4 linked regions of the Stegostoma tigrinum genome follow. The protein of the gene in region 3 interacts with the protein of the main gene of each other region in a pairwise test. Links are inferred from orthologs where the notes say so. Each region holds a gene or a part of one and is shown on either strand. Other genes may lie near its edges. The genes, in order: shkbp1, abtb1, cul3b and rho-related BTB domain-containing protein 2-like.

Region 1 (7,528 bases), on a different chromosome or scaffold from region 3:
GGACTTTGGTTCGGCCACATTTGGAGTACTGTTTACAGTTCTGGTCGCCACATTACCAAAAGGATGTGAACGCTTTGGAGAGGGCGCAGAGGAGGTTCACCAAGATGTTGCCTGGTATGGAGGGTGCTAGCTATGAAGAGAGGTTGAGTAGATTAGGATTATTTTCATTAGAAAGACAGAGATTGAGGAGGGACCTGATTGAGGCCTACAAAATCATGAGGGGTATAGACAGGGTGGATAGCAAAAAGCTTTCTCTTTTCCCCGCCTCCCCCCCCCCCCCCCAAAACCCAGAGTGGGGGATTCAATTACTAGGGGTCATGAGTTCAAAGTGAGAGGAGGAAAGTTTAAGGGAGATATGTGTGGAAAGCTCTTTACACAGAGGGTGGTGGGTGCCTGGAACACGTTGCCAGCAGAGGTGGTAGATGCAGACACCTTAGCGTCTGCTAAGATATACTTGGACAGGTACATGGATGGACAGGGAACAAGTGGACACAGACTATTAGAAAATAGATGACAGGTTAGACAGAGGATCTTGATCGGCGCTGGCTTGGAGGGCCAAAGGGCCTGTTCCTGTGCTGTAGGTTTCTTCGTTTCTTTGTTTCACCCCACACCGCGCTGTCCTTGGCTTCTTGCACTGTATCAATACAGTCATAGAGCTGTACAGCACAAAAACAAAACTGACCCTTCAGGCTAACGCATCCATGCCAACCAGATATCTTAAATGAATCTAGTTCCATTTGCCAGCATTCGGCCCATATCTCTCCAAACCTTTCCTATTCACGTAACATCCAGATGCTTTTCAACTGTTGCAATTGTACCAGCCTCTACTACTTTCACTGCAGCTCATTCCATACACACACCACCCGCTGCATGAAAAAGTTGCCCCTCACGTCCCTTAAATCTTTCCCCGCTCACCTTAAACCTATGCCCTTTAGCTTTGGACTTCCTCTGCCCTCAGAAAAAGGCCTGACTATTCACCCTATCCATGCCCCTCATCATTTTATAAACCTCTAAGGTCACCCCTCAGCCTCTGACACTCCAGGGAAAATAGCCCCAGCCTATTTGGCCGCTCCCTGTGCCTCAAACCGTCCGACCCCACAACATCCTTGTAAATCTTTTTTGAGCCCTTTCAATTTTCACAACATCATCCCTACAGTCAGGGACCAGAATTGCAAGCAGTATTCCAATAGTGGTCTAACCAATGCCCTGTATAGCCATAACATGACTTTTGAACTCTGGCATTCAATGCCCTGACCAATAAATAGAACTGCACCAAATGCCTTCTTCACTATTCTGTCTACCTGCAGCTTCACTTTCAAGGAACAATGAACCTACACTCCAAGGTCTCTTTGTTTAGAAGAACTCCCAAGGACTTTTCCATCAAGTGTACAACTCCAGCTTTGTTTTGCCTTTCCAAATTACAGCACCTCACATTTACCTAAATTAAACCCCATCCACCACTCCTCAGCCCACTTGCCCATCTGATCAAGATTCCATTGCATTCCGAGGTATCTTTGCTCTCAATTACACAACAGGACCCGATTGAGGTGTACAAAGTCATATTGCTGTGCAGATACACAAAGATCAATGAGCTCCTCTCTCAAGTTGGTAATTTACAGCATTCTGGACACTACCAACTTCAAAAATTTCAGATAAAATAACCAATTCAAAGGTGGTTGCTGGTAATGATTCTGCATTTTCATATTGACATCTCCTATAGAACCAGCTTTGGTTTCTTCATTTCCTCATCTGCCTTTGTCTTGCATCAAACTTGGAGGTGATGCTGTCTGTGGTCAATTAGTCTGATTCCCTCTGGGGCCAGAAACGGCAAATAGGCACTTGAATGAAACAGTGAGTGAGTAACTACCGATCACTGAACCCAGGCAAAACGACAAAAGGTCATGGGGGCAGATGCCCAGACACCCCCTGACCTCCTCAGAGAAAGACACAGCCACATCAAGCGCTTGCTGAGAAAGTAACTGTGGCATCCAGACTTTCCCCACTCCCCGCTGAACATCCCCCAGCTGGAATCCACAACAATCTGAATAAAATAAAAGAAACATTTATTCTTAATCATGGGTTTGTGCTGGAGGCAAAGATGGGGTCAGGTTCCACTTACTGAAACTAACAGCTATTGTCCAGTAGTCACACGTATATCCAGACCAATCATGAAGACATGGGGAGGGGCACATTCTGAAGGAGATTGGGAGTCATGATGAGCACCTTAAGGGGGAAGGCAGGGGAAGTTGCACAGTGCAACAACAGTATTCCAAGGAAGAACAGGGATGTTGTTTTTTGTAATCCTCCCACCCCCCCTTTGACATTCTAACAAATAATTATCACAGAGCAACAACAACCTGCATTCAGGTAGCAGCATTAAATGCAATAAAAAACAAAAGGGCCTAATTTTCTCCACAGAGGATTTTAAAATCAGTAATCACATTGAGCTACATGAGGTAGCTTGGTGTGATATAAACAGATGTTGTTGTGAGAGACAAAGAGGAATTTCTGAAACAAAGTAGCATAACTGAAGCAGACAAACTGATCATTCCCCACAATCTTGCGGTGAACATCGGCTGCAGCATTTCCTACATTACAACAGTCAATACATGGCATCGACTGCCAAGCACTTTGGGACATCCAGAGGTTCTGAAAGGCACACGCTAAATGCAACTCTTTCTCACTATTCTTGTTAATAAAAAACAGAAACTGTAATTCTGAAGTCACAACCCAAAACTCGAACATGTTCTCTGCGCAATACTGCTTTACTGCAGCCAGTATTTCTGGTTTTAATAATAGAACATAACTATCAGACTCAGTAATAACCACAAACGTCGCTGTTTAACAAAACCTTGAAAGAAATGGAAAAAAGACAGGTTGCTGAAGACAGAGATTAGGAGGCAGTGTGCACTCAAACAGCTCCAACACCCCACGCAAGACAGTGACCCAGATAATGAGAGGATTTCTAATGCCCAATTAATACCAATCTGTTCCTTACTCACCTCTTTCCTCCCACATTGAGATGTATAATTTCACCAGGCTGGGCGATATTTGCCATTTCACACCATCCCAGGAAAGCTCAGTCAATCCCCAACTTCCTCAAACAAGTTCATCAAACTTTGGGTGTGTTTTAGTCCCACCCCCTGCCACAAACGGATTGGCTTCAATCTGTTAACGTCGTTCCGGTTTTATTAGTTGATTGGTCAGATTAATTATCATTCAAACTTCTCCCTCAGTCCCAGGGTACTTTGCATCGGCTTCAGTGGCAAGGCTCTTTTTTAAAGGGACATCTCCTCTGGAGTGCCACAATTTCTTAAAGTGACAGGACACTGAGAGTAAGTCGTAGAAATACAAGAGAAACAAACAACTCTTTTTTTTCTGAAACAATAGACTCTTGAGTCAACAGGATGTGGCCTGATTAACATTTCCCATTTCGTAAAGAGAATGAGGGCCATGAAATAGCCAGTAAATTGACTGCAAGAGAGGAAGAGTCACGGAACACAGTTTTTAAAGTTTGAGTAAGGATGAGGCAAAGATTGACTGAGCAGGAGTATTAATAGCTGAAACTGTGATAGATGGTGAGAGTTATTCAGATGTAAATAGTTGAATACAAGACTTTTACATAATCCTCAAATCAAAATACAGAGGGAATGGTTGAGACAAGTAGACAGGAAGAAACCTTTCTCCTTGATGGAGGGATGAACGACCAGGAGACTTCAATTTAAGTCAAAGGGTTGGAGGCTTCAAGGGAATGTGAGGAAAATTATTCCATCCAGAGGGTGCTGGGAATCTGGAACTTACTGTGAAGGTGTTCAAGGCAGAAATCCTCATAACGTTTAAAAAAAATTAGATGTGCAGTAGTGATGCCCAGGCACACAAGGCAATGGGCTAAGTTCCTTGGAAAATGGGATTAGGATAGTTGCGCGCTTGTTTTTGACAGACTAGAAGGGCAGTGGGCCATTTTCTATGCTTTGAACTTTACAACTTTAAAACTCTAAAGAATTATGGAAATCTGGAATGCACTCCTTCAAAAGATGGATGAAATTTTAAAATCTTTAAAACAAATTAGTAGCCTTTTGTTGGTAAGGCAATAAAGAATAACAAAACCATAGCAGGTAGATGGAGTTAAGATTTTCAGAATCAGTCCAGATAAATGCAGGAACAAGTATCAGGTTTGCACACCTTCCTTCTGTTTCTGAAGACTCAAATGAATCAGATGACTAAGGAAGTTTATTGATGAATTAATTGAATGTCAGACTTTGCTATATTTCCCTGAGGAAGCAGTCTGTGATGTAATTACATTTACTCCTCAGAGTAGCCAATAACTGAACACTGAAACGGTCTTGAATCAATCTCCTTTTAAATGTGGATTTTATCTGGAAGTACAGACAGTTAATAAATGTCATTAGTTTTTCCACCACAAAATTCTCTTCTGCTCACTCTAATGTCAAAAGGAAACCAACTAATGCCCCTGCTCCTGATTACAGTCTCATGGCTTCTGCATAGGAGTAAGACAGGAGATCATACAAACTAGCGAGTTTTGAGAAGATTTGTAGCTCAGGTTGAGGTCCTGGATGTGAGTTTGCTCGCTGAGCTGAAAGGTTCGTTTTCAGACGTTTCATCACCTTTATTTTTATTTGAAAAAAATATACTTTATTCATAGAATGTACAAAAAATAAAACATTTATACACCTACCCAGTCATGCAAGCCACTCCGGGTTACCCAGGGGGTACGTACACCAACTAAAGGGAAAAAAAAACAAAACAGAGAAAAAAAAACAAAGCAAAGAAACCGCCCCGGCAGTCGTCACCCCGCACAGTCCCAGTTGGCCCCCTGACCAGTTGGGGAAGACGCCAGCTGGGCCCAGTTACCAGATAGGATTCTTTTCCCTTTTCTGGACGAGGGGGCTCATACGGTGGTCTTTCCCCACCGCGCCTTGGCGGCGGCTGCCCCAAGCTTTAGCGCGTCCCTCAGCACGTAGCCCTGGACCTTGGAGTGCGCCAGTCTGCAACACTCGGTCGGGGGCAGTTCTTTCAGCTGGCAGACCAGCAAGTTGCGGGCAGACCAAAGAGCGTCTTTCACTGCATTGATGGTTCTCCAGGCGCAGTTGATGTTGGTCTCGGTGTGCGTCCCCGGAAACAGCCCGTAGAGCACGGAGTCCCGCGTCACGGAGCTGCTCGGGACGAACCTCAACAAATACCACTGCATCTCCCTCCAGACCTCCTGCGCATAGGCACACTCCAGAAGGAGGTGATCGACAGTCTCGTCCCCCGCGCAGCCACCTCGAGGGCAGCGTGCGGTGGTGCAGAGATTCCGGGAATGCATAAAGGATCTCACTGGCAGAGCCCCTCTCACCGCCAGCCAAGCAATGTCCTTGTGCTTGTTTGAAAGTTCTGGCGATGAGGCATTCTGCCAAACGACTTTGGCAGTCTGCATGGGGAACCACACGACGGGATCCACCCTCTCCTTTTCCCGAAGGGTCCTGAGGATACTACGTGCTGACCACTGCCTGACGGCCTTGTGGTCAAAGGTGTTTCCTTTCAAAAATTTCTCCACGAAGGACAGGTGGTACGGAACGGTCCAACTACTCGGAGCGTTCCGCGGCAACGAGGCCAGGCCCATCCTTCGCAACACCAGGGACAGGTAGAACCTCAGTAAGTAGTGACACTTGGTGTTTGCGTACTGAGGATCTACGCACAGCTTGATGCAGCCACACACAAAGGTAGCCGTCAGGGCGAGGGTGGCGTTCGGTACGCCCTTTCCCCCATTTCCCAGGTCTTTGTACATGGTATCTCTGCGGACCTGGTCCATCCTCGACCCCAAAATGAAGTGGAAGATGGCCCGGGTGACCGCAGCGGCGCAGGTCCAGGTAATAGGCCAGACCTGCGCCACATACAACAGTACCGAAAGCCCCTCGCACCTGACAACCAGGTTCTTACCCGCGATGGAGAGGGACCGGAGCGTCCACTTGCCCAGCTTCTGCTTAAATTTGGAGATACGCTCCTCCCAAGTCTTAGTGCATGCCCCAGCTCCACCAAACCAAACACCCAGCACCTTCAGGTAGTCTGTCCTGACGGTGAAGGGGATGAAGGAGCGGTCGTCCCAGTTCCCGAAGAACATGACCTCGCTCTTACCCCTATTGACTTTGGCACCCGAGGCCAGTTCAAACTGGCCGCAGATGTCCAACAGCCTACTCACCGACCGACGATCGGTGCAGAAGACGGCGACATCATCCATGTACAGGGAGGTCTTGACCTGAAGGCCTCCGCTGCCTGGGATAGTCACGCCCTTCAGGCTCACGTCCTTCCTGATGGAGGCGGCGAAGGGCTCCACACAGCACACGAACAAGGCAGGAGAGAGCGGGCAGCCCTGCCTGACTCCAGATCTAACAGGAAAACTGTCTGATTCCCACCCGTTGATCGAGACTGCGCTAACGATGTTGGCGTAGAGCAGCCGGATCCAATTGCGGATGCCCTCCCCGAACCCCAATTTGGAGAGGACGTCCCTCATGTAAGCATGAGAGACCCTGTCGAAGGCCTTCTCCTGGTCCAGGCTGATGAGGCAGGTGTCCACCCGCCTGTCCTGTACGTAGGCGATCGTATCCCTGATGAGCGCGAAGCTCTCAGCGATCTTCCTGCCCGGCACAGCACAGGTTTGGTCAGGGTGAATCACCGACTCCAGGACAGACCTGACCCGGTTGGCAATGACCTTGGCCAGGATTTTGTAGTCCACGTTCAAAAGTGAAATGGGACGCCAATTCTTAATTTCTTCCCTCCCCCCCTTCCTCTTGTAAATGAGGGTGATGATGCCCTTCCTCATGGACTTGCACATTTCCCCTGTCCGAAGCGCACTATCGTACACCTCCAGCAGGTCCTGGCCGACCAGGCCCCACAGAGCAGAATACAGCTCGACCGGTAAGCCATCACTTCCGGGAGTCCTATTCCTCTGCAAGGACTTGAGGGCTCTGGCCAGCTCGTCCAGGGATATCGGCCGGTCCAGCCACTCCCTCGTGCCGTCATCTAAGACCTCCGTGATAGACGACAGGAACGACTCGGAGGCCGTGCTGTCCGTGGGCTTCGTGTCGTACAGTCCGGCATAGAAGGATCTGCTGATCCTCAAAACGTCGGGCCGAGACGACGTCACCGAGCCGTCGTCCTCCTTCAGCCGGCTAAGCACAGAGCTCTCTTTGTGCACCTTCTGAAAGAAGAAACGCGAGCACGTCTCGTCCTGCTCCACGGAGCGGACCCTGGACCGGAAGATTATCCTGGAGGCCTCCGCGGCGAAGAGCGAGGCTTGCTGGCCCCTCACCTCGCGGAGGTCCTCCGTGACATCGACCCCCATCAACTGCAGAAGGAGCAGGTTCTGCACCCTTTTCTGGAGTCGCAACAGCTTTCCCCGCCTCTCTCTCGCCTTCTGAACACCCTTGAGGACAAAGAACCTCTTGATGTTCTCCTTCACCGTCTCCCACCAGTCGCCTGGAGACTCAAAGAGGGGTTCCACGGTACTCCCTCTTAAGCTCCTCGACGT
Region 2 (7,837 bases), on a different chromosome or scaffold from region 3:
GCTACACTTGCCCCCACACCTCCTCCCTCACCCCTATCCCAGGCCCCAAGATGACTTTCCATATTAAGCAGGGATTCACCTGCACATCTGCCAATGTGGTATACTGTATCCATTGTACCCGGTGTGGCTTCCTCTACGTTGGGGAAACCAAGCGGAGGCTTGGGGACCATTCTGCAGAACACCCCCGCTCGCTTCGCAATAAACAACTGCACCTCCTAGTCGCAAACCATTTCCACTCCCCCTCACATTCTTTAGATGACATGTCCATCATGGGCCTCCTGCAGTGCCACAATGATGCCACCCGAAAGTTGCAGGAACAGCAACTCATATTCCGCTTGGGAACCCTGCAGCCCAATGGTATCAATGTGGACTTCACCAGCTTCAAAATCTCCCCTTCCCCCACTGCATCCCAAAACCAGCCCAGTTCGTCCCCTCCCACCAGAGCACCACACAACCAGCCCAGCTCTTCCCCTCCACGCACTGCATCCCAAAACCAGTCCAGCCTGTCTCTGCCTCCCTAACCTGTTCTTCCTCTCACCCATCCCTTCCTCCCACCTCAAGCCGCACCTCCATCTCCTACCTACTAACCTCATCCCACCTCCTTGACCTGTCCGTCTTCCCTGGACTGACCTATCCCCTCCCTACCTCCCCACCAACACTCTCCTCTCCACCTATCTTCTTTTCTCTCCGTCTTCGGTCCGCCTCCCCCTCTCTCCCTATTTATTCCAGAACTTTCACCCTATCCCCCTCTCTGATGAAGGGTCTAGGCCCAAAATGTCAGCTTTTGTGCTCTTGAGATGCTGCTCGGCCGGCTGTGTTCATCCAGCTTCACACTTTATTATCTCAGATCTAGAATTGTTGTTTGCCTCACATATGACAAGTCCTTCATCCCCAGGATCATTCTTGTGAATTTTCTCTGCAACCCCACCCCACCATATCCTTCCATAGATTTGATTTGTTGTTCTCACATGTACTAAAATAACAGTGAAAAGTGTTGTTTTGTGCATTCTACAGGCAGATCGTACCGTACAAAGTGAATCAGATAGTAGAAGTGCCAGGTCAGAAGGCTGAATTGAAAGACTTCTGAACTGCATCAAACAGCCTGTCCCTTCAGCTGTTTGCAACAAGTAAGGTACTGCCCACATCCAACCAGTCCCCGCTTCTAAACTTTACGACGGTGTGTAACATTAAATATGAACTGCAACTGGACAATGTTTACACAATAATTCTGAACATGCAAGAATTATGCTAGTGACCAACTTAAGACGGTCAGTGGGGCTTTCACTGTGGTGCACTTGCATGTATGTACTGGAAGCTTTGCACACTAATACACAATGCAGACAGAAAATCCATGTACATACACTACACCTGTACAGGTTGAGGTTACCATGAAGGACTCACCTCAATGTCTTTCCTGAGATGTGGTGTACTTCAAGTTATACCACCACAACTCTCCTCTGTTTAATAATAGAGAGGAGTGCTTTGGTCCAGTAGAACTATGGCAGCTTTATCTTTTCCTTCATACCAATGTCAAGAGCTGTTGTTGCTCCTGCACTAATACTAAGGAATCTTACAATAATAAATTCAGAATTGGCAGGTCATTCCACTAGGTCTACTTTCCAGCCCATCTCCTCTCCTCCCACCTCCATTCTGCCTCACTGCCATCCCTACTCCACTTCTTGCAACCTTCTCTCTCTCTCCATTTCTCCTGCTTTTGCTCCCTTCCTGCTCCAATTCTCCCTTCCCTTCTACTTCCCCTCCCCTCACCTTTCTCCCTTCCCTCTATCCCTCCATTGAACAATCCCATCTCTTAAGTTACCTCCCCACCTCTCCTCTCCAACACCCCCATTCCCGAGTCATTGTTGTTCATCATTTACATATACAATGAGGATGAGAGTATAGCAGGCATGGTTATTGAGTTCTATGGATGACACCAAAATTGGTGGTATAGTGGATGGTGAAGAAGGTTATCAGTGGACCAAGGAATTGCAGCTAGAGTTTAATTTAGATGAATGAGAAGTGATGCATTTTGGTAAGAAAAACCAGGGCAGAAACCTAGGGGTGCAGGTACATAGTTCCTTGAAAGTGACATCACAGATAGACAGGATGGTGAAGGCAGCGGCTGGCACACTTGCCTTCATCGGTCAGAACACCGCGTACAGGCGTTAGGGCATCGTGTTACCACCATACAAGTCACTGGTAAGACCACATTTGGAGTACTGTGTGCAATTCTGGTCACACAGTTTTAAGGATGTTTTTGAAGTGGAAAAGGTGTAAAAATGATTTATAAGGAAGTTACCGAGACTAGAGGGTTTAAGTTATAAGGAGAGGCTCAGGCTTTTTTAACCCAGAATTTAGGAGAGCTTATAAAAGTTTATAAAACCATCAGGAGCATAAAATAAGGTGAATAGCCAAGGTCTTTTCCCAAGGTAGGTTCAGGGTGAGAAGAAAGCTTTATAAGAGACCTAAGACAACTTATTCACACAGTGTGCTGGTGTATGGAATGAGCTGCCAGAGGAAGTGGTAGAGATGAGTCGAAGTGCAACATTTAAAAGACATTTGAACACGTACATGGACGAGAAAGATTTAGAAGAATGTCTGCCAAACACAGGCAAATGGGACTAGTTCAGTTTGGGAAACCTGGTCGGCACAGGCAAGTTGGACAGAAGGGAAAGCTTCTGTACTGTGTCACTCCACTACTCTCTCCATCACACCCCCATTCCTCCACCCACCCCCTTACTGCCATCACCCCATTTCCCCACCCACCCCTCTCCTCTACTCCCCCCATCTCCCTCTCCCCCAATTCCCCCACTTTCCCTCACATTTTCCCCCTCACCCTCAGGGTTTTACCCCACACTAACCGACTGCACTTGGGCCTCAGCCGCACTCACCGAACTCTGGAGAGTTCCCCCTTCCTGCAGCTGGTGAATAACTCGCTCGTGTCCATCTCTCTCCTTCGCTGAAGCTGGGAATCGATACATCGACTCCGTGACGCCGGAGCCCAGTGTAGTTTTACTATTTATTATTTAAAGCTCGCTCAGTGAGCTGCTCTCCACAGGCGGTGTTTACGACCGTTTCGAATGTAAACACGACCGACTGCTGTAACTGCACCTGCGCACTTTGCCCATCAGCGCGCCGCCTGCCACCCGGGAGGAGGAACAGATCCTCCCGACATTGTACAAACTGCCCATCACAGCGCCGCCTGCCGCCCGGGAGGAGGAACAGATCCTCCCGACATTGTACAAACTGCCCATCACAGCGCCGCCTGCCGCCCGGGAGGAGGAACAGATGATCCTCCCGACATTGTACAAACTGCCCATCACAGCGCCGCCTGCCACCCGGGAGGAGGAACAGATCCTCCCGACATTGTACAAACTGCCCATCAGCGCGCCGCCTGCCGCCCGGGAGGAGGAACAGATCCTCCCGACATTGGACAAACTGCCCATCACAGCGCCGCCTGCCGCCCGGGAGGAGGAACAGATCCTCCCGACATTGTACAAACTGCCCATCAGCGCGCCGCCTGCCGCCCGGGAGGAGGAACAGATCCTCCCGACATTGGACAAACTGCCCATCACAGCGCCGCCTGCCGCCCGGGAGGAGGAACAGATCCTCCCGACATTGGACAAACTGCCCATCAGCGCGCCGCCTGCCGCCCGGGAGGAGGAACAGATGATCCTCCCGACATTGTACAAACTGCCCATCACAGCGCCGCCTGCCGCACGGGAGGAGGAGCAGATCCTCCAGACATTGTACAAACTGCCCATCACAGCGCCGCCTGCCGCCCGGGAGGAGGAACAGATCCTCCCGGCATTGTACAAACTGCCCATTCGAGCGCCGCCTGCCGCACGGGAGGAGGAACAGATCCTCCAGACATTGTACAAACTGCCCATCACAGCGCCGCCTGCCGCCCGGGAGGAGGAACAGATGATCCTCCCGACATTGTACAAACTGCCCATCACAGCGCCGCCTGCCGCCCGGGAGGAGGAACAGATCCTCCCGACATTGTACAAACTGCCCATCAGAGCGCCGCCTGCTGGTCGGCAGGAGGTAACCGTCCTCCCGACATTGTACAAACTGCCCATCAGAGCGCCGCCTGCTGGTCGGCAGGAGGTAACCGTCCTCCCGACTTTGTACAAACTGCCCGTCAGAGCACCGCCTGCTGGTCGGGAGGAGGTAACGGTCCTCCCGACATTGTACAAACTGACTGGAAGCCAAGAGCCCATGGGATCCAAGGAAATTTAGCAAATTGGGTCCCCATTTGGCTGAGTGTCATGATGCAGAGAATGATGGTTGACTGGGTTTCTTTTTGTGACTGGAAATCTGTGTCTGTTTAGGTCCACAGGGGAGAATGTTGGCCCTAGCGAGTTTCGAGAAGATTTGTAGCTCAGGTTGAGGTTCTGGATGTGAGATTGCTCGCTGAGCTGGAAGGTTAGTTTTCAGACGTTTCGTCACCATTCTAGGTAACATCATCAGTGAGCCTCCGACGAAGCGCTGGTGTTATGTCCCGCTTTCTATTTATCTGATTAGGTTTCCTTGGGTTGGTGATGTCATTTCCTGCCATCCATCACCAACGCAGGAAATGACAATATGGATGGGCTGGCCTGTGACAAATGGAAATCAATCTGGATACATGTGATACACTTGGGCAAGAAAATGAAGACAAAAGAAATGAATGGGAAGCACCATGGATGAAGAGACCTTGGTGTGTGTATACACTGAACCCTTAAGGCCTGGTGGATAAAGTGGTGAAGAACACACACGGGACAATTTATTTTCTTTTTTTATTTAACTTCTTTTTCTAATCAACCTGTTCTGAGGAGTTATTACTCGTGTCTGGAGCAGGTGGGACTCAACCTGGGCCTCTTGGGCCAGGGGTAGGGACATTACCACTACACCACAAGATGGCCCCCAAATACCATTCACTTTCAACAACAAGCAGAGACAGTCTACTTTGCCTGGACACAAAGGCGGCACTGCTGTTTCATTGAGACAGAGTTTAAGAGCAGTGTGGTGGTAATGGAACTGTATAAGACATTGGTTAGGCCACAGCTAGAATATTGTGTACAATCCACCTGATAGGAAATGTGCAAATGCCCTGGAGAGGGCGCAGAAGAGATTTACCAGAAAACAAAAAATTGCGGGATGATGGCAATTTGAAACCAAAATAGAAATTTCTGGAGAAACTTAGCAGGTCTGGCAGCATCTGTGGTGAGAAAGCAGAGTAGATGTTTAAGGTCCAGTGACTCTTTTTCAGGACTATTGAACGATCAGACAATGAAAGTGGAATGGGAGGCAGGAGAGATCTGAGACAGCACGAGGTGATGCAGATGGAGAGAGAGGTCGAGAGTTCGCATACGGCAATGAATTGCACTGAGGTAGGTTTCAGGATGGACGTACCCAGAAGAGGTGTCACATGAACTAAACACGAAAACAAAACAAAGAATTACGCAGAGATAGCAGGAACTGCCGATGCTGGAAAATCTGAGATAACAAGATGTAGAGCTGGATGAACACAGCAGGCCAAGCAGCATCAGAGGAGCAGGAAAGGCTGACGTTTCGGGCCTAGACCCTTCTTCAGAAATCTTTCTGAAGGCTGACATTTCGGGCCTAGGAAAGTTCCTGCCATTTGTTTCTAATGTGATTATTTACTGTTCTTGCTTTGTCTTCAAGATTTTCTTTGTAAACAGCTATGATATTTTAATTTCCCCCAACTTACCCAAATAAAACTTGTGCTTGTGACCTTAATACATCCTTATTAACAGATCTGAAATCTAATTTATAGATCTTCCACTTTAATCAAAAATCATCTTCAGTTAGACAGTGTGCTTTAACGTTTAAATTTCATATTTTGTCTTAATTCTGCTTCATGATGACCTCCATCAGACCATAAGATATAGGAGTAGAATTAGGCCAATCAGCCCATCGTTTCTGCTCCAGCAATCGATCATTGTTGATTATATTTCTTAACCCCATTCTCCTGCCTTCTTCCCATAACTCTTGACCTCCTTACTAATCAAGAACCTGTCAACCTCTGTCTTAAATACACCCAATGGCTCAGCCTCCACAACCATCTGCAGTGATGAGTACCACAGATTCACCACCCTCTGGCTGAAGAAATTGCCTCGGTAAGATTTATTTCTTGTCATGTGTATCTTGTTACAAAATGTGGTGAAAAGTGGTGTGCAGCATCACTACACTCTGGCGCCATCTTAAAATGCAGAAAAATAAAACAAATCAGAATATAAAGGCAGAAAAATGTGACAGTGAAAGAAGTGCCCACCTTACAGTCCTTTTTATTAAGTGCTCCATCGTGGGCCAGGTGGCCAGGCATGAGGCCCCTTCTCTGCGCCCACCCCCTGCTAGAATAAAAGTCATCATTCTTTGGTGCCATCCTGCCTCCATCAATGCCCAAACCGCTATGGGTCCTTGGTGGACCTTGCCAATGCAGACGCCACCAAAGTGGCTGGGAAGTGCAACAGCCCCACCAAGTACTGCCACCACAAGCCCGCTTTGGGGCTCACCTCGCCAGTGCAGCTGCTGCTAGGTCTGGTAGTGGGCCCAAACTCGCCTCTGCCCATCCCGCCATGAGTCTGTGCCGATGATGCCTTTGCCAAGTCTGAACCCTTCACCAAGCAGTAAGTAAAGTAAAATAGAAGTGAACTATAAAAGGAAGAGAGGTAAAAAAAGGAAACAAAGAAAAGCAGACAAGTCCTGGGCTCAGAAGCTCTCCACTACCTGAATGTTGAGTTCCCGCTTTTGATCTCCTTATAACCATGATTCCCTTATGGCTATAAGATATACTCATTTACCTCAATTTTTCCTATTAGTTCATCCATCTTATCCTGAATGCTTCAAGCATTAAGATACAAAGCCTTCATCTTTGTTCTATTATCAAATTTCCCCACAACTATATCGTTCCTCGATGCAATATGACATTCTCACTTCCTTTTATCTTCTGGTAACAATCATCCCCAACCCCATCATTATAATCCTACTTTCTCCTTTACGTTTGATTTTATAATTTTCCATGCAACTGAACCAATGGACGACATGTCCATCATGGGCCTCCTGCAGTGCCACAATGAAGCCACCCGTAGGTTGCAGGAACAGCAACTCATATTCCGCTTGGGAACCCTGCAGCCCAATGGTATCAATGTGGACTTCACCAGCTTCAAAATCTCCCCTCCCCCCAGTGCATCCCTAAAACCAGCCCGGCTCGGCCCCGCCTCCCTAACCTGTCCTTCCTCACACCTATCCCCTCCTCCCACCTCAAGCCGCACCTCCATTTCCTACCTACTAACCTTATCCTGCCCCCTTGACCTGTCCATCTTCCCCGGACTGACCTATCCCCTCCCTACCTTCCCACCCATACTCTCCTCTGCACCTATCTTCTCCTCTATCCATCTTCAGTCTGCCTCCCCCTCTCCCCCTATTTGTATCAAAATCCTCTCCCCATCCCCCTTTTCTGATGAAGGGTCTCAGCCTAAAACGTCAGCTTTTGTGCTCCTAAGATGCTGCTTAGCCTACTGTGTTAACCCAACCCCACACTTTGTTATCTTCAACTCTCCACACTCTATTTAGTTTGAAGCCTAATCACAACCGTAGTTATAAGATTTACCAGGACTCCAGTGCAAGCATGATGCAGGTGGAGCTTGTACCATCAGAACAGTTCAGTATTGCTGCTAATGTCCCATGAAATCAAACCTGAAGGGTCTAGGCCCAAAACGTCAGCTTTCCTGCTCCTCTGATGCTGCTTGGCCTACTGTGTTCATCCAGCTCTACGTCTTGTTATCTCAGATTCTCCAGCATCTGCAGTTCCTACAATCTCTGAAACTGT
Region 3 (7,669 bases):
ACATATCTAGGAATTTATTCAGATATTCTAATCATGCTTACAAGAATGAAATCTGATCGGAATGCATCAAGTTCTGTTCAGCAATGTTACATTCCCCTATTATGAGCCTTTTTACCCACCCGTATTGTGTCTATCATCCTGTTCAGTGTTGATAGAAAAAAATTGAAATGCTCTTCGTAATTTTAGGTAACTGCCAATCAGGTTAACCATGTTGTAAATAATTCAGTATTCATGCTACACCCCATTTAAATCAAAAACCTCTAGCACTAACTGAGTGGTCTTGGCAATGCTGCAAATACAATTGTCTGAATTTCACTTTAAAGCTATTTTTACAAATGGATCAACGTAGCCAAACAATGTATTTCAAAGTGTCTTTTTTCACACCATTAAAATGCATATTCTACATTAAAATGACAATCATGTGCAAACTGATTCTAAAACTGACCAACAACTGTTCCATTACGAAGATGTAAATTTTCTGCAGGGGGCCTTTATTTCTAGTTGGCATTAAATTCGATGAATGTGATTTTGCAAATGATACAGTACAATAGTAGTATAGTTAGAGAAGGCAGCTGAATCAGTAAAACAATAACTATATAATTAATTGTAGTAACTAACATTGTTTAGTCATTTCAATATAAACACCAATACAGCATGATCTCATTTACTTCTGAAACATTTATGATACTGAAACTGAATTTTTGTTTTTAAAAAGATATCCTGATAGTACAACAGATGGTAACTCAGAACTCAAAGTGGTAATGAGCAAGTAATGATCACCAATTCATAGAGGATCTCAAATCACTGCTGTAGGAAATGGGCAATGCAGGCAGCAGTAAATACCTACTGTTACCCCACAACACTGGGAGAAGCCATGAGTATGCTAACTAATGATCCTCAACTGACCAGAAAATGAACAATGTGGGTGCAGGTATTCTGTTTTTATATATGGAAGATATCATAAGCCAAACCAAAACTAAAAAAAAATATAGTTTTTGCACTTCAGCTTTTCATTTTACAATCCAATCTTTCAGTTGTGCTTTGATTAAACACAGCTGAATTAGTTTTTGGACATCTTGAACTACACTGCAAAGGGTTCCTATGGGAAGCACCTGCTGGTAGAAGTACAGAACTTAGTGAGTAGGCCCCTGTTCAATATCTCTAATGTCCATTTTCACAAACATATCAGCTAAACAGCAATCTTGGCTTTGCTCTACAGTTACTCCTGAGCACATGACAGAAGTAATAGAATTAAAGTAATTTACATTGGCAATACACCACATAATTCTATCCTTTTAATTTTTCAAATTACGGTCAGTGATCTTTACACCATTTAAAAAATAACTTTAGTTAGCTTAGGAGAATTTTTTGAAAGTACAAAATTGGTTAGTACCGTTTAATTCCACTCTGTTTAGTAATTAACAAAGTTGATGTCTTTCAGCAAATATACCATACAAAGAACATCCATAAAGTAACATACCAATTTCAGAATTATATACAGATCAGCAGTGTCAAAATGTTACAGAAGTTGCATAAAAAACAGTATGACGAACGCTTGGCACAAATTATTTTAATTGAACATGTTCCGCTAGTAAACTTGAAACTGTGAACAAACGTTATGCTGTAACCTTGTGCCTACGAAACTCTCAGTGTATGAACTTTAACAGTAACTTCTACATAGGAAGTGCTCCTTGTCCCGCTTATACAGAAGTTGTTTCACATGTTGAATGTGTTATTCTTCCAGGTAGAAGGCAATCACCGCACAATTTCAAATTCATTTGAGGGGAGGGGATAAAACACTTGCTATCTAGTTTGCCCTGCTTAAAAATTTATTAATACTGTTATCCTTTGCAAAATATTTTCAAGCAGTTAAGTGCTGTTTGAACAGTTTCAAACTTTCACCAGTAGTTGCAAAAATATATTTGAGCTTACTACATATGTATTTCATATGATATACAGCAAATCTGCTGGAAATGATTCGAGCATTTCTTTCAAGGTTTTCAACTCACTAAGGTCAATTCTGAAGGAGACATTCTTCTCACCTTTCAACTTATGCATATTGCAAAAGATAGAGAACCAAATATTCCACCAGGCGTTGGTGTACCAGTCCAGTCACAAAGCTCTTACCAATTAAGTTTTCAGAGCATAACCCAAGTTATTGTGACCACAAATCTAAGTATTCAGTAGTGAACCAGTCCATGTCACAGACCACCTAAAGAGTGTTTCAACTTGACTGAAAACACAGTAAATACTTAACATTCCACACTACCATTCCATCACTTTCAAAAGAAAGCTAAAAATATCCGAAGTTGTGAAACTATTTCAGAAAACGTAAGCCGCACCTTACAACTTATTACCTAGTGTTTCAATATGTCAGAACCAATAATATTCTACAGATTTTTTTGGGGAGGGGGCTGATGGCGAGAGAAAGATGGAGGAAGTGAATTAAAAAATGACAACATAACACAGCGCTTTGTGTTCCTGAATGGGGGAGGTCATCACAACAAACAGCCAAGGATTAAAACAGCCTCTCTGTTTGGCCTTCACGGAGCACCATGAATATTAATCAAACGATAAGGGGCCTGCTCCTGTGTTGACATCCGTAGAAGCCCGGGCCCTCGATTTGAAGCATTCGCAGCCTCTCTGTCCCCGTGCGGCGCATTTCCTTTCATTTGTTCTGTTAAATTGCGGCTACGGGGTCATTACTTACGGGAAACGCTCGTATCCTCATCTTGGTGTCTTTCTTCGTCCCAGCTTTGCCCAGGTTTGACATGTTGGCGGATGATTTCTTTCACATAGGACTCACTTACAGGGGAGGAGAGAAAAAGAAAAGGGGGAGTGGAAGTTCCGATAAAAGACCGAGCTACAATTAAACCTCTCGATTAGACGGGATCCACGGCCAGTGATTCGGGTTGATCTGACCCCCTTCAAGTGAGAGGCAGCAGGACCTTCGACCATGAAACAATTTTTAATATCAAAAAAAATCTGTTGGAAAATACCAGCCCGGCTCTATGGCGGCCGAAACCTTCAGTGCGCAGGTCAGTCGACAGTCCGATATCGCGAGAGCTCGGCCCTGTACTCGCAGGGAGAACACGAGACTGACGTCCGCAGCAGTGACGCGTCAGGCTCTGTCAATCAACCTAGGAACTGTCAATCAATCTGCAGCTGTCAATCAACCTGGGAACTGTCAATCAACCTGCAGCTGTGAATCGACCTGAGAACTGGTCAATCACTGCAGCTGTGAATCAATCCGAGAATTCTCAATCACTGCAGCTGTGAATGAACCTGTCACTGTATATCAACCTGGGGAACTGTCAATCACTCTGCAGCTGTTAGTCAACCTGTCACTGTCAAGCAACCTGGGAGCTATAAATTGCTATGGAGCTGTCAATCAACTTGTATCTGTCAATCAATCTGGGACCTGTCAATCATTCGGCAGCCATCAATCATCCCTGGAACTGTCAATCACTCGGCAGCTGTAAATCGCCCTTGGCCTATCAGTTACCCAGGATTTGTCAATCACCTGGAGTTTTCAATCAAACCCAGAGCTGTCAGTAATTCACAGAGTTGTCAACCACCCAAGGAACTGTCAATCAGTCCACATGCTTTCAATCACATTGTGAGCTGCCAACCATTCTGTGAGCTGCCAACTACCCAGGGAGCAGTCAATCACCAGAAGCTGGGAACATCACTCACTCTAGGAACTGTCAGTTACCCAGGGGCTGTCATTCACCCTGTGAGCCATGAATCATTCAGGAACTGTCAATCACTCTTGGACTTGTCATTTACCCAGGGAGCTGGCAATGTGATTAATGCAGTGATCAAAGACTCGAATAGTTTCACACTGCTGCAATCCTGTCAACCCACTAGGAACTGTGAAAAACCTAGCCAACCGTTAAACGCGAACTGTAAATTCGCCCCACAAGCTGCCAATCTTCCTAAGAGCTGTTAATCTCCCAGAAATTTGTCAATCGCCCACAATCCGGTGTGTTGTAGATCCTCTAGGGAGTTGTCAACCAACTAGGAGCTAATAATCATCCTGGGAACTGTCGATCATTGGCAAAGATCTCAGTTATCTAGGCTACAGTCGATCATAAGTTATGTCGTATTCACCTTTGAAACAGTGAATCACGTCAAGAGCTGTCAATATCCCTGAAAGCTGCCAGTAACCTGAGGAGTTGTTAATCATCCAGAAGGCTTTTAGTCAACAAGGGTGCTGTGAATTACCTCAAGAGCTATCAGTTATCTGGGACTCTATAATTAACCAGGAAGCTGGTAATCACTCCAAAAGCTGTCAACCACCCTGTGACCTGAAAGTCTTCATGGGAGCTGTTAGTTGCCCCATGAGCTGTCAATCACTTCAAAGTCCGTCAATCACTTGGGAGGATTAAATGACCTAGGAGCTGGCAATAGTTCAATGGGGGTAGTCAGTTGTGTTGAAAGTTGTCAATTACCCAGGGAGCTGAATTAACACAAGGAGTATCAATCATGTAGAGAGCAGCCAACAATCCAGAAACTGTTAATCACTGTAAAACCTGTCAATAGCCTGCTCACTGACGCTCATGAACAAAAACAAATTTCTGGAAAACTCAGCAGGTATGGCAGAATGAATATTTTGGGACCAGCCACACTTCTTCAGAACTTATTGTAGCTGGGAGGGAGTTGTTACATATGCTGATTATGGGGTGGAAGGAGGGGATCTGTCTGCAGAAATGACTCTGAGCTCTCACTAACTCTGACTTCTCTCCACAGATGCTGCCAGATCTGCTGAGATTTTCCAGCAATTTCTGTTTTTGTTTCTGATTTCTAGCATCTGCCGTTCTTTTGGTTTTTTGGTTTAGTGAGCTTTCGGTTGTCTGCCACTTCCACACACCACTATGTTTTGTCGCTAACATCTCTGTCTCGGGTTTGCTGCAGAGCTCCACAGAAGCTCAACACAAGCTGTAAGAACAGCACCTTATTTTCCACTTTGGAACCCTACAGCCTATGGACTCGATACCGAATTCAACAATTTTGGGGCTTGAGCACCTTCCCCTTGACCTTATTTCCAACCCCACACACCAGACCTTGTTATTACATGGGCTGCTGCCAAAAACAAACCATTGTCAGCCACTAAGAGTCCCCATTAGCAGCTGCTAATTCTCCTAGGTTGACCTGTACCCATGTTTTTGTCTGCACAACTGTTTTTCTCTCTCTCTGGTCTCCACCTCTGCCTATCCCTTACTCCAACCCCCTTCCCCCACCCCCTCTCCATAGATCCTGTACAGTCAGTTCTGAAGAAGGGTCATTGGATCTGAAATGTTAAAATTCTACATTTGCTCCACATACATTGCCAGTCCTGCTGAGTTTTTCCAGCAATTACTTGTTTTTGTTTCTGATTTCCAGCATCCACAGTTCTTTGTTTTTTTTTCACTGATCATCAGTTTGGGCTCTGCTAGGACCACTCAGTTCCTTACCTTATTATAGCATTAGTTCAAATGTGGACAAAACAGCTAAATTCTAGAGATGACGCGAGAGTGATTACCCTTGATGTCAAGTCTGCAATTTTACCAAGTTTCACATCAAGGAGCTCCATCAAATCTGTAGTCAGTAGAAATCACAATTGTGAGGGGAATCTCTTTGCGGGTTCAAGTAATATCTGTACCAAAGGACAATGTTTGGGATGTTGGAGGTCAGTCAACTCAGTTCCAGGATATCTCTGCAGGTATTCTTCAGGGGAATGTCCTAGGCTGAATCAATTTCAGCTGCTTCATCAATGACCTTCTCTCTGTCATAAGGTCAAAGTGGAATGTTTACTGATAGTTGAACAATCTTCGGGCACTATTTGCAACTCCTCGAATACTGAAGCAATTGACATCTAAATGCAGCAAATCCTGGACAATATCTAGGTTTGGACTAAAATGTGGCAAGTAACTGCCAGGCAATGACCATTTCCAATAAGAGAGGATCTTACCATTGCTTCATGAAATTCAATAGCATTACTGTCATTTATCTCTCCATTCTAAAAATCTTGGGGATTAACATTGACCAGAAAATGAACTGGACACTCCACACAAATAATGTGACTACACAAGCAGGTAAGCAGCTAGGAATCCTGCAACAATAACTCAACTCTTGATTCCCCAAAGCCTGCCTGCCATCTACAATCCACAATTCCTGGGTGTGCTGGAATACTCTCCGCTTGCATGCATGAGTGCAGCTCCAACAACACTCAAGAAGCTTAACACTATCCAGAACAAAGTGGCTTGCTTGATTGGCACCACATTCACAAACATTAACCCTGTCTACCACTGATGCACAGTAGCAGCAAGCAGTATGAACTGTTTACAAGATGCACCACAGAAATTTACCAAGGCTCCCTTGAGAGCAGCTTCAAACCCATGCCAACTTCCATACAGAAGGACAAGGCGACAAGTGCACAGGAACACCAGCTCCTGCAAGCTTCCCTCCAAAAGCATTCACAATTCTAACTTGGGAACATATAATTGTACGTTCAGTGTCACCAAGTGGAAGCCCTGGAACTTTCTCCCTTAGGGTATTGTGGTTTGACCCCACCAAATAAGTTGCAGAAGTTTAAGGAGGCAGCTCACCACCCTTCTCAAGGGCAAATAGAGATGGGCAATAAATGATAGCCCAGTGGACATCACCGACATCCCATGAATGAATAAAAACATCACTCACACATTCCATTTTGGGTGTAATCAATCCTGAGCATCATTCCCCTGGGGAAATGCCAATATCACATCAAGTGCTGTAAAAATCCTTGAGTGCAGCCAATCATCCAACAGTGTCCTGTTTCTGTAGCATAGTGGGTATCACATTCACTTTACATGCAAATGAATCCCGGTTTGAAACCAGGAAAGAGCATTTGTGTAGAAAACTGAATGCTGATTTACCCTCTCTTTCAATCACCCAGAGGACTGTCAATCAACTGATAAGCTGTAAATTAGCTCACGAGATGTCAATTACCTTGAAATGGATCATTAAAAAGGAAACTGTTAGTTACCCCGACAACTGTCAACGACAACTAAAGCTGTCAGTTATCCTGAGTGTTGCCAACTGCTGAGGAGTTGTCATAACTATGGTGAGCTGTTAATTTTCCTGTGAGCTGTCAGTCACCTGGGAAATTGTCAATCAGCTAGGATGCTGTTAATGACCCAGCAGCTGTCAATTATCTGGGGAGTTGTCAAACTAATCATGCAGAGATCTGTCAATCACTAGTGCTATCACTACTCAGGAAGCTGTCAATCAAACCAAAAGTTGCCGAACATGCCGACAGCAGTCAGTAACCCAGAAGCTGTCCATCACAAGGAGGGCTGTCGATCTCCATGAGACCTGGCAACCATTCATACAGCTGTCAATCAGACAGTGTGCAGACAATCATGTCAATAATTCAGGGAGCTGGCAGTCTCATTGAGAGCATCAATCTTCCTAAGAGTTGCCAATCACCCAAGAAGTTGTCAGTCATGCATGGAGCTGTTATTAATGGGAAATTTTGATCAGTCAGAGAGATTTTAAACATTTCTAGAGCAGTCAACCACCCAGAAGCTGTCAACCATCTGGGGTACCAGCCACTGTCAATCACCCAGTGAGACACAACTGTCAATCAGCCGAGATGCTGCTGCTGCTGTTGTTATCATCCCTCAAATTGTTGAATTTGGGAGTTGCT
Region 4 (8,128 bases), on a different chromosome or scaffold from region 3:
ACTTGAAGTGTAAATCACAGCTGTCAAGTGCTTTGGTCATGAAAGGCGCTATTCACATCCAGCTTATTTCATTTCCTCAACCTTAAGGTTACTGAGTCAGTCACATTGGTCATTTTCTGTCCATCCATTGCAATAAAGCCTGCCTAACAATAATTTTCTCACACAGATAAAATCATGAGGTAGATTACACTGCAGAATGCATACCTAAGATCCACTTCAGACAAGGTATCCTGCTACGCTAATGAGCATTTAACTCCAATCCTATAAAATTGAGTTGCCTCTTAATACCTGGGCAATAAATGACCTCTATCAATGTTGATCAAATTGAGGAATAAATTAAAAGATGGCGAGGTAAAATATGTCTGTGCGTACAGTGGAATAACATGCTCTTCATCTGGTTGCTTCTGGGCACAACATATTCAAGTATCAAACACATGGATAACCTCACAGCCTCACACACAGACATACAACACACAGGCTCACACATGACTTGTCTCACATAAGACAGTCAATGCTTTCAGGCAGTTTGATACTGGCGTTAGCAAACCTATTGCAAGGTTAAAATATCTGCATTGGCTTTATAAGAACGTGTGTAAAGGAAAGACCATTCACACCATCAAAAAAGAGTCTTTCAACCTGAAACATGACCCAATTCTCTCTCCACTGATGCTGCCAGACCTGCTGAGTTTCTCCAGTACTTGCTGGTTTCATTTCATGTCTCCCCCATCCCATTCTATCATTCAATTAGACCAATGCTGTAGTTACTTCCTTAGGTTACATAACCCCAAAATTTCAATGCCACAAATGCAAGTTAAATCTTGCCATTTTAAATTTTACTACATGTTTGAATCTGTGTACAAAACCTAACCTGCAAGGATTACTAATTTGGTAAATTTTACAATGGATGTTTTGTGCTCTAGCATGTGAATAATTATGTGTTGAGTCACTTACTAAAACTCTACTGACTAACGTTCAAAATCTACAAACAGTAATAAAGAAACTGAGTTACGTCAACTGTTTTGTTTTGTGTCTAGGTCTAGTGGTTTTTACAATGGAAATATTTACTAACTTAGACATAGCTTTTAAAGTTTAAATCCATGTAAATAAGATATTGAATTGTAAAAACCCTGTGGATATAATAAACCATGGATTAAGTTGGGTGGAGGGGGGGCAGCGGATGATACTTTGCCCAGGCTAATGCTGCTAGATGACGGTTTAACTCCACTAGAGCAACTGGTTGAATGCAAATTAATTTAACAAAATCTGGAACTAAAGTTCATGTCAGAAATTGTGCCACCAAATCAACACAGTATTTTGGAACAGTCAATCTAGTTTTTGAATTTCCTTTGCAGAACAAAGCCTGCCATCTATATCTGGACTAGCCTGCATATGATTCCAAACCCAGTCGTCTGACTGATTCTCAACTGCCCTCTGAAATGGTACAACAGTTTATTCATTTGAAGAACAATAAGGAATGGGTAACAGATGCTGGCCACTGACACACAGATCTCATGGAAGAATGAAATAAAATCATTGTGGCCCTTATTGACCTTGAACACACATCCATTTTTGCATTAAGGTGTGTTTGAACTAATCTATCACGTGGCTAGACATAGAGTTATGATCTCTGAAATGCTTCATTCGTTATCAATTCTGTATGCATTTTCTTTTTCTGTAACGGGCAAAGGTCACTGCCTCAGGCCTTTCAGCCAATGTGCACCAAGGGGCTGGAAACTGTAAAATTTCAGAGACTGGGGGCCTCACAAGATACATTGTGTATCAAGAGCATCAAAACATACTGAAATACCTCAAAGAAGCACTGACAAAAGAAAATTGCACTTTCTGCAATTTCTAGTTTGAATTTGTTTTCCCCGGGCTGTCTATCTGACATGGAGTGTATTTTGCTAGACTCGTGCAGTTGAAACATGCTGCAAGGCAGAAGTTGAGCTTTCTTGCAAATTCTGTCATGCTCAGGTTGAAATGTTTTGTGATGTATTTTGATAAATTTCATGAATAAAGTATATGGTGGTGGGGCAGAAAAGCTGGACTTTTCTTTGCCACACGTAGAAAAGTAAATCAGAGGTTGAACCTATTTTTAAAAAGCTGCATGTAAACTGCCACTTGGAAACACATGCCAAAGTCAGGGCCGACCGGAGATGTGCGATTGCAGTCGGAAAACGGTAAGTTAAAGGTTTGAATCAGAGTTATGAATCCCTGCCACGTTACTGATGAGTAGTCCAGCCCGAGAAGGCTTTCGTCGGGTGGGGAGCGCAAATACACTCAAACTTGACATGATCGGCTTCGGCAGGAGACCAGAAGCTTGGTCACATGTAGCGTTTGCTGCGGGTCAGGCTTCATCCGAACTGAGTGCGGGACCCAGCCCTCAAGCCGAGTGCGAGCAGCTTCTGTGGTCTGCACTCGGAAGAGTCCACATCCCGATTTCTGTTACCACGACAACCAGCTCAATTTAGCTGTTGAGGAGATCGGATAGACTCTTAAATACAGACAGACTGGGGGAGACATTTCCCAAAATAGAAGCGGAAAGATATATGTCTATTTACACACACACACACAGAGTCACAGATATATATCAGGAAAAAAAGGGAATAAATCATCACGCACCGTGCTGAATGGAAAAATCTTTCTTCAATGAGGAAGTAGGTTCTCTGTTCGCCTTTTTTCAGTGAGTCGCAAGCATCTTCGTCATTGTATCCATTTGAATAATGTGTCAATTAAAAATAAATAATTCGACATTGTAGCAAACGGAATGACTTCACGCTATGAACTAAGACAGAGAAACGATCGCGCCACAAGCCGAAATCCCTGAAGAAATCATCTTTCCGCAAAAATTACAGCGCCCTGCTCCTGGCTCCCGAATGTGGGAAAGCGATAGGACGGGGGTGGGGGGGAGGGGTGGCAATCGGAGAGGTGGCAATAAAGGTTGCAGATTTATGTATGAAGTAAGATTGTTTTTCGTTCCTGATAACCATCGGCTGGAACAGGCTCATGCTGCAGTTGTTACTTCATTCATAAAAAGGAGCAGAGATTCTGCAGAGAGCGAGGAGCTGGGGAGGACTGTCTCCACCTACTTTTCCCATCCCGATTGGCGCAGACAACACCCACCCCCACTGCGCTGTCACCAGGCTTAGGGGCGTTACCGAAACCTCCATTGGCCTAGGGTCACGTCCTTCATCCGATATTCGAGAGCACCGGAAGAATAAAACACCGCCCCCTTCCCCAAACCCTCCTCATCTACAAACCGTGATGTGGAGATGCTAGTGGCGTGGATAAAGTCAAAAATCACACGACATCAGGTTTATTTTAAAACACAAGCCTGAGGAAGGAGCTGAGCTTAGAAAGCTTGCGTCCTCCAAACAGCACATGTCCAACAGACACTTCCACACTAAGAATAGTTCTGAAACTCATGCCTTCACAGAAAGAAGCATTTAATTCATGCACGTAATTGCGATTGTGTGAACACTTGCTCCATCTCTGCCTGAGGAACAAAAACGATAGGGACGGGGTCTATTAATATTTTGAAAACAGTGGACATTCTGAAGCAACTCAGTAGCATCTGTGCAGGGAGAAACAAAAGCGAATGTTTTGAGTCTGATTTTTTTTTTGTCTTCTGTCCCTGAAAAACAGATACATTGATGCTAACAACAGAAACACAACAAAACCCGACATGAACACGGGCACAAAGCCAAACTTTGATAGAAATTATGCATGTGCTATCCGGGCGAGGCTATATTTGTGAAGGGGGTAAACGCAAATCGAATGTTGCTGAGATAATAAAATGTGAGGCTGAACGAACACAGCAGGCCAAGCAGCATCTCAGGAGCACAAAAGCTGACGTTTCGGGCCTAGACCCTTCATCAGAGAGGGGGATGGGGGGAGGGAACTGGAATAAATAGGGAGAGAGGGGGAGGCGGACCGAAGATGGAGAGTAAAGAAGATAGGTGGAGAGAGTGTAGGTGGGGAGGTAGGGAGGGGATAGGTCAGTCCAGGGAAGACGGACAGGTCAAGGAGGTGGGATGAGGTTAGTAGGTAGCGGGGGGTGCGGCTTGGGGTGGGAGGAAGGGATGGGTGAGAGGAAGAACCGGTTAGGGAGGCAGAGACAGGTTGGACTGGTTTTGGGATGCAGTGGGTGGGGGGGAAGAGCTGGGCTGGTTGTGTGGTGCAGTGGGGGGAGGGGACGAACTGGGCTGGTTGAGGGATGCAGTAGGGGAAGGGGAGATTTTGAAACTGGTGAATGTTGCTGAAATGATTCTAACCGTGTACGCCAGTGGCTGTCCATGAGGCTTTCATCCAAATGATATGCCCCTGCCTTCTCAATTGTTGATGTCTGGCTCTAATTCAACTTTTGTTTCCCATCCTCTTCAGTAACTTATATGACCACCTTTTAAGTATATTGACGTTTCTCATTGGCGGGATGTTTCAATATGAACCCTCACCATGACAAACTGAGCAGCACGTTGGAAATCCCCGGCACTAAAGAGATTGTACTTCTCTATCAATTCCATTGACTGGAAGATAAATGTGTTTTCTTTAAAAACACACAAATATTTCAAAACTATATTGTAAAAGGCAACAGTAAAAGTTAAACAGCGGCTTGAGCTCTGAGAAAAAGTCATACCAGACTCGTAATGTCAACCAGAGATAATGGGAACTCAAGATGCTGGCGAATCCGAGATAACAAAGTGTGGAGCTGGATGAACTCAGCAGGCCAAGCAGCATCTTGGGAGCACAAAAGCTGATGCTTCAGGCCTAGACCTATGTCTGTAACTTCCCCTAGCCCTACACCTTTCTTTATCTCTGACACCTTCTCCAGTCCTACATCCCTCCATGTCTCTGCACAAGTTTTCATCTGTTGCACATCAATGGTTTACATGACATGGCCATTGTTGGCTGCCTTACAACTGCCCGAAACCTGAGGCTCTGCTACTCACTCATGATGGTTGGCTCTTTTACATTGTTGAATCTATCCCTTTGAGGAAGCATTTGATCACTCATTCTAATATCTTTAATAGTATTCCTGTTTAACTACACTAAAGGCACTGTCTATAAGCAAGTTATTGTTACACTTCTGAATCATGTAAGGCAAACTTGGATCTGGAATTGTTTGAGTCTCATGATCCTTCTTCAGTAAAGGTGACAAAGATATGGCAGGCTGGAAGAGGTTACAGCGGTTAGGAGGTTTGTCAAGGCTGGAGGTGGCCAATGAGGAATTTTTTCAGAAGCATTAGAATAATATGTCTAGCTCAATGTGACCATTTCAAAGATTCCTGTACGCCTTTATTTTGGAAATGGATTTGCATTTATTTAGCATCTTTTGGAATGTTTGTATGTTCCAAATTGTTCAATAGTCAATTAAGTATTTTTGATGTGTTGTCAGTATTATGCTGAAGGAAGTGCAGCAGCCAATTTGTGCACAGCAGGATCCCAAAAACAGTAATGTAATTTTAACCAGGGATTCATTCTTCTGTCAGCGTGTCATGCTTCAAGTGACTCCAGTTAAGATGATATCTGATGCTTTTATACCCTCAGGTCACATGTGACAATGTCATTACCATGTTTCTTAACACATTGATAGTGAGACATAGGGGAGGTGATGGCCAATGGTATTATCGTTGGACTGTTAATCCAGAGACTCAGAAAATGGTCTGGGATCCTGGGTTCATATTCCATCATGGAAGATGGTGGTATTTGAATAAAAGAAAACAATCTGGAACTAAGAGTCAAATGATGATCATGAAACCATTGCATATTGTCAGAAAAACCCATCCGGTTCATTAAAATCCTTCAGGGAAGGAAACTGCCAATCTTACCTGGTCTGGCCTACATGTGAATCCAGACCCACAGCAATGTGGTTGACTATTAACTAGCCTCTGGGCAATTAGGCCAGTCTAACCCAGTGACACTCTCACCTGTGAATAAATTTTTAAAAAAAACAGCAATTTGGAATAGTTTGATAAAACTAAGTAGATGGCTAGGCCAATTCAGAAGAAAGTTTAGCATCAACTGTTGTTTTCGGATTGGAGTTACATGTCCATAAACCAGATTGGTAAGGGCAGCAAGTTATTGGTCCAAAAAGACAGGGCTGGTTTTTGTGACATTTATGAATCTCCTAAATTAAACTGAGATAGATTTTAGACCTTGCCACCTGTGCGTAAAACTGGAGTTGCGTGGCAAACTCCGTCTCTGTAGAAGCTGTCTAATCTTTCTTTCCAGTGAAATATTTACTGACTTCAGCGCATCTGCTTCAAGTAAGGGACAAACATGGGCAAAGAAGAAATGCTGGTGCAGGGTAACAAATGAATTTGATCACACTGATGGAAGCATGAAACATAGATTGGGATTGCAAAGAGGAAGGCAAGTAACAAGGAAATGTAAATGTCCAAGTACTGGAGGAAATAAACAATAGGAAATACATTAAAATAAAATAGTTCTATTTATCTGCTCTGTCTTTCAGAATGTCTCAAAGCATTTTGCAATGAATGACTTGATGTGATTTGATTTGACTTATTGTCACGTGTACCCAAATACAGTGAAAAGCTTTGTTGGCGAGCAGTACAAGCAGATCACATTAAAAAAGGGCATACAGATCATAGGGTGAAAAAAAACTGGGACAGAATAAGGCATACAGGTTACACTGCATGTAGGGATGTGCAGTTGGCAAGATCAATGTTATTTGAAGTTAGAGACTCCATTCATTAGTCTAATAATGGCAGGGAAGAAGCTGTTCTTGAATCCACTAGTGCGTGTGTTCAAGCTTCTATCTTTTGCCTGACGCAGGAGGTTGTTGAAGAGCATCACTGGCGTAGGACAGGTCTTTGATGATGTTGGCAGTCTTTCCATGGCAATGAGATGTGTAAACAGAGTCCATGGGTGGGAGGTTGGCATCCATGATAGTCTGGGCTGTGCATACACCTTCTGCAGTTTCTTATGGTCCTGAGCAGAGCAGGCCGTCATGCACTTGGACAGTATGCATTCTATGGTGCATCTGTAAAAGTTGGTGAGGGTCCTCATGGACATGCCAAATTTCCTGAGCCACTTGAGGAAGTAGAGGCATTGTTGTGCCTTCTTGACCATTACATCTACGCGGGATGTCCAGGACAGGTTGTCGGTTATTGTCATTCTAGGAACTTAAAGGTCTCAACCTCTGCTCCGTTGATGCAGATGGGGTCATATTCTCCTCCTTTCTTTCTGAAGTCAATGTAGTTTTGCCGACATTGAGAGAGGTTGTTATCATTGCACCATGTCACAAACCCCTCTATCACCCTTCTGTAATCTGACTCATGGTTGTTTGATATCTATCCTACCATGGTGATGCCATCAGCAAACTTGTCGATGATGTTTGTTTTGAATTTGGCAATTGTTGTGGTTATAGAGGGACAAAAGAAGGGGTCTGAGAATGCATCCTCAAGAGCTCTAGTGTTATCATGCAGGAGGTGCAGTTGTCTATCTTCACTGATTGCAGTCTATGGGTCATGAAGTGGAGGATCCAGTTGCAGAGAGCAGAGCTGAGATCTAGATCTTGGAGTTTTGAGATCAGTCTGATAGAGGTAAGGGTGTGGAAGGCAGAGCTGTAGTCAATGAGCAGAAGTCTGAAATTGGTGTCCTTGTTGTCCAGATGTTCCAGGGATGAGTGCAGGACTAGGGAAATGAAGTGTTTATGAAGCACAATCACCATTGTCTTCAGTGGAATAGAGGACCCAAATTACACACAGGAAGATTCTACGCCAATAACACACAAGCAGTTAATCTTGTTGTGACGCTGACAGCGGGATAAATATCATCCAGATGTCAATAGACCAATCCTTGCTCATCATTCAGCAGTTAAAATAAACTTGTTTGCACATATCTGAGAAGGCAAATGGGTCTTGGTTAAAGCCTTTACATGAATGATTGCACCTCAATTGTCAACTTTGACTCTGTTTTCAAGTCTCTGGAATTGTGCTTGAACATACAGTCCCTTTAACATTGCCTCATGAGTGCGGCCAGTGAGCTGAGGTTGACATCTAAATGAAATAAAACCAGCGTACCATGTTGCATTTGTGTTTTGCGATGGTCAAGTAGCTCTGGACCAGATTCTAAGCTCATCTGACCAGCCCTGTGATAGTGATTG

What was found.
Region 1: the proteins of cul3b (region 3) and shkbp1 interact in binary tests that used the Homo sapiens proteins (3 or more experiments, as listed by UniProt). The link is inferred for Stegostoma tigrinum from reciprocal best matches to the Homo sapiens genes CUL3 and SHKBP1.
Region 2: the proteins of cul3b (region 3) and abtb1 interact in binary tests that used the Homo sapiens proteins (3 or more experiments, as listed by UniProt). The two-hybrid records come from large-scale screens. The link is inferred for Stegostoma tigrinum from reciprocal best matches to the Homo sapiens genes CUL3 and ABTB1.
Region 4: the proteins of cul3b (region 3) and rho-related BTB domain-containing protein 2-like interact in a two-hybrid assay, tested with the Homo sapiens proteins (2 studies listed by BioGRID). The link is inferred for Stegostoma tigrinum from reciprocal best matches to the Homo sapiens genes CUL3 and RHOBTB2.

The regions. Positions count from the first base shown.
Region 1 is NC_081392.1:21,636,330-21,643,857, forward strand, and holds the start of shkbp1 (SH3KBP1-binding protein 1), read right to left. Parts: upstream 3,133-7,528; 5' UTR 3,059-3,132; coding exon 3,003-3,058; intron 1-3,002.
Region 2 is NC_081364.1:5,672,284-5,680,120, forward strand, and holds the start of abtb1 (ankyrin repeat and BTB/POZ domain-containing protein 1), read right to left. Parts: upstream 3,116-7,837; 5' UTR 2,948-3,115; coding exon 2,892-2,947; intron 1-2,891. UniProt on the Homo sapiens protein: May act as a mediator of the PTEN growth-suppressive signaling pathway. May play a role in developmental processes.
Region 3 is NC_081367.1:24,434,259-24,441,927, forward strand, and holds the start of cul3b (cullin-3b), read right to left. Parts: upstream 3,044-7,669; 5' UTR 2,774-3,043; coding exon 2,711-2,773; intron 1-2,710. UniProt on the Homo sapiens protein: Core component of multiple cullin-RING-based BCR (BTB-CUL3-RBX1) E3 ubiquitin-protein ligase complexes which mediate the ubiquitination and subsequent proteasomal degradation of target proteins.
Region 4 is NC_081393.1:4,691,150-4,699,277, reverse strand, and holds the start of rho-related BTB domain-containing protein 2-like, read right to left. Parts: upstream 3,075-8,128; 5' UTR 2,623-3,074; intron 1-2,622. UniProt on the Homo sapiens protein: Regulator of cell proliferation and apoptosis. It likely functions as a substrate-adapter that recruits key substrates, e.g. MSI2, to CUL3-based ubiquitin ligase complexes for degradation. Required for MSI2 ubiquitination and degradation.